2 linked regions of the Sus scrofa genome follow. The protein of the gene in region 2 purifies or fractionates together with the protein of the main gene of each other region. This does not show direct contact. Links are inferred from orthologs where the notes say so. Each region holds a gene or a part of one and is shown on either strand. Other genes may lie near its edges.

What was found. The genes of interacting proteins can lie anywhere in the genome.
Region 1: the proteins of KCNQ1 (region 2) and AKAP9 purify together in Homo sapiens (affinity purification with western blotting; 3 studies listed by BioGRID and IntAct, with this or other methods). This does not show direct contact. The link is inferred for Sus scrofa from reciprocal best matches to the Homo sapiens genes KCNQ1 and AKAP9.

The regions. Positions count from the first base shown.
Region 1 is NC_010451.4:72,052,608-72,055,449, forward strand, and holds the end of AKAP9 (A-kinase anchor protein 9), read left to right. Parts: intron 1-339; coding exon 340-479; coding exon of another isoform or gene 480-526; exon of another isoform or gene 527-1,744; coding exon 1,745-1,779; 3' UTR 1,780-2,291; downstream 2,292-2,842. UniProt on the Homo sapiens protein: Scaffolding protein that assembles several protein kinases and phosphatases on the centrosome and Golgi apparatus. Required to maintain the integrity of the Golgi apparatus. Required for microtubule nucleation at the cis-side of the Golgi apparatus.
Region 2 is NC_010444.4:1,673,791-1,678,156, forward strand, and holds the start of KCNQ1 (potassium voltage-gated channel subfamily KQT member 1), read left to right. Parts: upstream 1-1,532; 5' UTR 1,533-1,619; coding exon 1,620-1,999; intron 2,000-4,366. UniProt on the Homo sapiens protein: Pore-forming subunit of the voltage-gated potassium (Kv) channel involved in the regulation of cardiomyocyte excitability and important in normal development and functions of myocardium, inner ear, stomach and colon.

The DNA.
Region 1 (2,842 bases), on a different chromosome or scaffold from region 2:
ATTAGACATTGGGAAAGGCATTGACTAAAATTGGTAGTTTCCAGAATTATGAAAAAAAACTCTAAAGTTTGCATAAGGTGCATTTATATGTTTGCAACATTTATTGATGGCCTTGGCAACAGGCAGTGTGCTGGACATTCTTTTGATGACTTAGTATCTGCTTCGAATTTATTGAGGAGTTTTTTTCCTTTATACATGGCAAACTCAGACATATGAGGGATATAGATGAGGCAGAGTACCAGTGGTCTACCTTTTGAAGGCAAGGTGGAGCTCGACTGGCACATTGCTTGCATTGTTTTTGGATAGTTTGGATTCATGTTCGTATTTTTTATCTCATAGGTACCCAGGCACTCCAGCTGATTTAAATCCCAGTTCTTTAGCATGCTCTCAGCTTCAGAATTATGATCCTGACAGAGCCCTGACAGATTATATCACTCGGCTAGAGGCGCTACAGAGACGGCTTGGAACTGTACAGTCAGGTACCCTCAGCTTAACCAAGTACTGGCAGCACCATGGTGCTAGATAGACCCAGAACTCTTTCTTTTCTTGAAATTCCTTGACCTTCCTCATTAGGACAATCAAATCTTAAACTTGAGTATGAGTTACCAAGCTAGATTTAGGAATTTAAGCCAAAACTTGATTTATCACCCTGGATCCCACTCTCCTGCTTATCTCATTAAGACAATTGATTAGGTGAAGTACATGATGAGCATCTATGTACAAAGTACTCTGAGACACACAGAGTTTCTGCTGGAGAATTTGCTGCCAAGTGATACATGCTGAGGCATCCAAATAAGAGCTGGGGAGATGAGAGGAGGAAGCAAGTGCTTTTTATATGTGATCCAAGAAACCCATCCTATTCAAAGGACTGTGCAAGAATGACCTTTTATTGTCTCTGCTAAAAACAAAAAAAAACAGGAAAAGGGAGGGGGAAAGAAAACCACACAAAAATTTTTTTGTACTTAGTAAATGTGGAATCCCTTCCCTTTTTATTGTGGGAAAAAACCTCTCTTCTCTGTCTCTCAATTCACTCCTGATTCAATGGTCTTGAATCATTTTAATTTAATGAGCTTTAAGTCAGTTTATATGTATGTATGTGTATATGTATATTTTCCTTTTATTAAAGACCCTTTTTTCCTACTATTCCCACAAAATAGATAGGACTAATAGCCAGTTATTTTAAATTAGTAGTTTGCCTCTTCATATAAGAAATTGTCTAACCCAAGCAACTTATAGTTGTAGGAAGCAATTATCATAGCAGGACTTGGTTGGCCTGAGCATTTATATTTCACAAGACCCAGATTTTTAAGACCAAGAGGTATTTCAAGAGGCAAGAGGTATAGAACATTCAACCTGCAGGGCACTTTACAGAGAATCTTATCATTAATCTCACTTAGCATGCCCTGGAGCCAGCCACGGTGAGTTTTGAATATATGTTCAAGGTCTCCTATTGTGTAAGCCAGCTGCTACAGCTCTGATTCCACCCCTAGCCTAGGAATCTCCATATGCCCTAAAAAAAGACACACACAAAAAAGAGTCTCTTTTAAAAATCAGTTCAATTCTGAATAAGATTATTTTAGGCAGAAAAAAGTTTTTAAAAATGGTGCCTCCTTCTGCCCTTCATGGAGTCAGACGCGCTACCATTGCGCCACAAGGTCCCTCTTCTGCCCTTTATGAACTGGTTAGTCTGATTTAAGTCACAATCTCATTGAAATCACTGAAGTATCCTATTTCTATGTTACAGGTTCAACTCAGTTTCATGCTGGCATGAGAAGATAATCCTTTGAAACATGAATCAAAGTGATTTTAAACAAATTCCCTTTTGTAAATCAATGGTTCTTTTGTGCTTTTGTATTGTGGATATTCACCGGGACCAATACAAACACAGCTTATGATTGTATACAAATCCCTTGCCAGCACATGAAAACAAACTGGATTCTGTACATATAAGCATTGTGTATGTATTCATGCACAATAATCATCAAATTACATGTATATTTGTGGAATGCTAATTTAAATGATTAAATTATAAACCTTGTGTATTTATCAAATGGGTGAAAAGATTAAACTTTTGCGCATTATGATACTGTTGAATGTGTAGCTCGAGGTGTCCTGCACTTTTCTTATAAGGCTACTGAAGTTACATGTTACTGCCTAATATATTTGCTACTGGTGATAAAGACAGATAATATCACTTGTAGAGACCTATTTTTGTATAATGGTAGAAGTTTTGGATTTTATGGGGTATTTTGTCAAGTACTGAAATAAAAATGACTTCACCATTTTAACTACACTGTATTTGAACCTTTTTTTGTTTTCATTTTTTTGGTTTTTAGGGCCACACCCACAGCATATGTAAGTTCCCAGGCTAGGGGCTGAATCAGAGCTACAGCTGCTGGCCTGCACCACAGCCACAGCAACACCAGATCTGAGCTGCGTCTGCCACCTACACCACAGCTCATAGCAACGGCTGGATCCTTAACCCACTGAACAAGGTCAAGGATCAATCCCACATCCTCATGGATACTAGTCAGGTTTGTTTCCAGTGTGCCATAATGGAAACTCCTGAACCTTCATTTTTAAGCCACAGTTCATGGTGCATGTCTTATTAGTCTGTTCAGGTCACCATAACAAAATACCATAGCCCGGGTGGCTTACAAAAACAGCAGAGATTTCTCACTGTTTTGGAGGCTAGGGAAATCCAAAATCAAAACACAGCAAATTTGATGTCTGGAGAGAGCCTGCTTTCTGACTTCCTAACTGCCGTCTTCCTGCTCTGTCCTCACATGGCAGAGGGGCAGGGTGCTCTCCCAGGCTCTTTTGTGAGGGCATTAATCCCATT
Region 2 (4,366 bases):
CTTTCTCAAAGGCTCTCCAGCTGTTATGCCCGCCTACTAAACGTTCCTCTTCCTCCTGCGCCATGGGCTGCGGATGCACGAAACCACACCTGTGCGAGCCTTCGCTCGGAAGGCACTGACTGGACGCCCGCGAGAGCCCTGCCTGTCCCCGGGGCCCTGCGGGGGAAGGCTCTCCCCTTCTCCTGGCTCTCGGCCCATTTTGTATCCTAAGGGGTACACTTCCTGGCAAGGCTCCCTTGCCTCCGTGGCCTGAGTCTCTGCAGTGCCTGGCACGGTTTGGGACCCACTGCACTCATTCTTTCTGCAAGTACAAACTGCGTGGTTCTATGCAGGCACCACCCGAGGTGTGGGGAGTCAGGGCCGAAGGCAGGCCTGCCCTCGTCCAGCAAGAACTGACTTTCGGTGGGTGGGTGGGGTACATTAAATAAATCAGTCCAGAGTGCTTAGTCAGGACCCGTGACGTGTCCCCGAGGTTACAGGTCCCCATGTGGTGGGGTGGTTGTCCCCCTGCCCAGGACAATGTCCTGAGGGAAGCCGTTTTTTTCCTTCTGGACACCCATCCTCCACCCTGATGCCAGGCCCAGTGTAGGGTCCCAGGTGCCAGGGCATGAACTCCTTCTGACCCTAACCCCCACCTCTACACCACCCCCACCGGGCAAACCCAGGGGTGCAGTGGCAGCCCCGTCCGGAGGGCGAGGAGGGCAGAAATGCAGTCTCCAGCGCCTCTCCCCTGACCTGCCAGGGCAGCCTGCCTCCCGTGCCGCTGTCCAGACCCAGCGACTTCGGCTTCAGGAGTCCTGGAATCCTCCCCACGCACATGGCTCCCCCACCCCCCACCGGGCCATCCCTGTCTGACAATGGCCCCGTGTTGCCCACAGGTGCCCTATGGGCACCGACCTGACCACATTCTCCTCCCACGTCACCCGTGCTGGGACTATTGCTCAGGAACCCGGGAACTCAGGGGGCGCTCCAGGTGTCCGTGGGCCCCGGGGACAGGCAGGGCTCCAGCAGGCATGCCGTCAATACTTTCCGAGTGAAGGCACGCGCCTTCCTCCTGGCGCGCTCCTCCTTCCCCTTCACTGCTATTCTAGGCGAAGTGGCTCAGAGGGGGTCTGAGTGCCTAAGCCCCACCCCGCCCTCCTGCCCGGGCAGGTCTGGTGGCTGCACCTGCTGACCCAGCGCTTTCCTCCCTGGCTTCCCTGGGGGCTTCTTGCCGACCTAGCCGTCGGGTGGGCGTGAGGGGAGGTGCGGGCAAAATCTCGGGCCCAGAAGGGACGGAGCGAGGAGCGCAGAGGGGGCGGACGGAGCAGGTGGGCACGGTGGGTCAAGCAAGAGAGACGGGAATGCAAACAGGTGGGCGCGGACCACGCGGGAGGGGCCCATCGCGGGGCGGGGGCTGAGGCGCCAGGTGCGCAAAAGTGGGTCGGGGGCGGGGCGTCCGGCCCGGGGCGGGGCTCGCCGGCCCCCGGGACCCGCCCGCGGCCACCACCCCCTCGCGGCCCCGCCCCCCACGCCCTGGCTGGGCGGGCAGCGGCGGGCCTGGCAGCCCCGGCCGCCTGCACAGCACCCGCCACTCCTGGCGCTGCCGCCCGGCCGGCCCCCGCGGGCCCTGCCTGGCCATGGCCGCGGCCACCTCCCCTCCCAGGGCCGAGAGGAAGCGCTGGGGCGGGGGCCGCCTGCCAGGCGCCCGGCGGGGCAGTGCGGGCCTGGCCAAGAAGTGCCCCTTCTCATTGGAGCTGGCCGAGGGCGGCCCGACGGGCGGCGCGCTCTACGCACCTATCGGCCCTCCCGGAGTCCCGGGGCCCTCGTCCCCCGCCGCGCCCGCCGCGTCCCCCGCCGCCGCCGACCTTGGCCCGCGGCCCCGCGTAAGCCTCGACCCACGCGTCTCCATCTACAGCGCGCGCCGCCCGCTGCTCGCTCGCACTCACATCCAGGGCCGCGTCTACAACTTCCTCGAACGCCCCACCGGCTGGAAGTGCTTCGTCTACCACTTTGCTGTGTGAGTATCGCTGCCAGCCCACACGAGGTTGGGGGGGGGGACGCTTTCCAGGGGGCTGGGGAGGGCGTGGGGGAGCTCTGTCCTCATGCCACCTGCTGCCGCCTGGACCTTGTCGGAGCTGCGACCCAGAGCAGAGGGCAGGGAAGGGAACGGTTAATGGGAGAACCAGACCCGCGCAGAGCCTGTCGCTGAAGTTCAGGGACATGTGGGACTGACCCTGTGGGGTGAGAGGCTCCCGCTGGCGCTGCCCAGGCATGTGTGTGTTTGGGGGGGGGGGCGGCAGCTGGGGAAGAGGGCCCGAGCCCAAAGCGGCCCGCTCCTCTGCCGCCTCTCCCTGGAGGGGCCATCCAGGTGTTGATCCTGAGACAAGGCGGGTGCAGGGGTGAAGAGGGGCTCTGGGAGGAAGAGGGGGAGGCTCCCATGCTTCTGCAGGTGCAGCTACACTTCAGAGCCTCCCCTGGTGTCCAGGCAGCCCTGGGGGGGCTCCTGGGCGGGAGCAGGGCCGCCCCAGAGGGTGGCAGGCCATGTGGTGTTGCCTGACGCTTCAGCATGGCCCCGCGTTAATCCAGCCAGGCTCGTGAAAACCCGGATTGGAGCAGAGAGGCCTGGGGCCCTGATCCTCTCAGTGAGTCGGTGGAGAAAGCGGGGCCTTATCGGCAACACCTGGCCCCGCTGTTCCCCAGGTGGTTTGGATTCCTGCTCTGGGCGCCCGAGCGGGCAGGGCAGGGCGCGGCGCGCCGTTTCTCAGGGACGGGGCACGAGGGGCCCTCCCCGCCCCTCCTTGGTGTGGGGCCAGTCTCTGGCCCGTGAGCCTGGGCTTGGCCATCGTCTGGGGGCTGCAGGGGGTGACCTTCTGGCTTCCTGTTGGGGGTGGCAGGTGCTTGCCTCGGCTTCCTTGGCTGTCCTGTGGCTGGGCGAGACGCGGCTGGGGGGTGTCCAGGGCCCTCTTGCGTCCCACTGGTAGCTGCCACTGGCACCCAGGGGAGCAGAGGGAGCCAGGCCCCTGCTGGATTTGGAGCATCACCTTGCCAGGTGCGGCCAGGTGGGGCAGCTCGGCCTCAGTTCCTCGCGTCTGCTCCTCTGAGCGCAGGTGGCACTGGGATTGCTGCTTTCCACAGCAGGAGGGCAGGTCTTGGGGACAGTGTCCTCAAGCCTCCTCTCTACTCCTCAGCCCCAGCTCCCTGGGGATCAGAGGGTGCCTCCCTTGGCCGTAGCTGGTCTGTGGGAGAGGCGGCCTTGCCTGTAGCTGTCGCGGCGGTGGCCTGGCTTGAGGCTTGGGGGCTGTCTGTGTGTATATCCCAGCTGGGTTGTGCCGGCCCTGTGAGCACCCAGCCAACAGCAGCCACGTGGGCTGCTGCCTCCCAGCCTTCACCCGCTGGACCCTGAGCTCCCCGAGGTGCCCAGGGGTAGGAGGAATGCCCAGCTGATGCGTCCTGGAGCAGACCCTGCGCAGCCATCTCTCTGTCCTACAGTCGTGTATGCCAGCTCTGGGCACTGACGGGGAGGCATGGCAGGGAATGGCCGGGCAGGGCAGCAGTGCCTTCCCTTCCCCCACCCGGGAGGGCTCCAAGGCCTGGGCTGCAGACAGCCCCCGGGTCCGAGTCCTGAGATGCAGGCCTGAGGGTGCACATGGCCCGGGCTCCCTGGCCGCCAAGGTGCCTGGAGGAGGAAGAGGGCCCGTCACAGGCCAGAGGAAGTCCCTGCTCACACTCGTGTTTTCTTCCTGATTCTGATTGTTTAGCTCTCGGAAGTTTGCTCAGCAGAGGCAGCCTTGCCCAGCCGCCCCAGGAGCTGTAGGGCAGGGTGCCTTCTGGGGACAGTGGCTGAGCGGCTTCCCCTGGGGGCGCTGGGAGAGGGAGGCCCCTGCGGCTGGCTTGGTGACCTTGGGCCAGTCCTTTCCAGCTCTGGCCCCCGCCTGTAAGAGGTATGTCCCAGCGCCCCGTGCAGGGAGGGGCTGCAGGTGGACCCTGGCTAGGCGGGGGGCCTGGCTTCCCTGGGGCCCGGGAAGGTGCCCTGTCACCCCAGGTGTCTCCAGGAGGTCAGCCAGGCCCCAGACACTCTCCAGATTGGCCGGTGTCTCGAGGGGACCTGGCCTCAAGCTGGGATCTCAGGGGCAGCTGGGGCTGAGTGGAGCAGCTTGGAGAAAAGGGCTCACGGTGCCCGTCCGCGCCCTGGTGTTGCTCTGAGAAGCGTCTACGACAGTGGCACAGAAAGATAGTGGCACCTCTGTCCTTGGTGAGGCAGATGGCGAAACGTGAGGGGTGATCGTAACGAGCCAGGCCGAGCTGGGTTTCCGGCCTGGGAAGGACGAGCCCGGCCTTGAAGGGCTGGGCCCGGTGGCTGTGGGGCCACTGTCCCGCGGGCCCT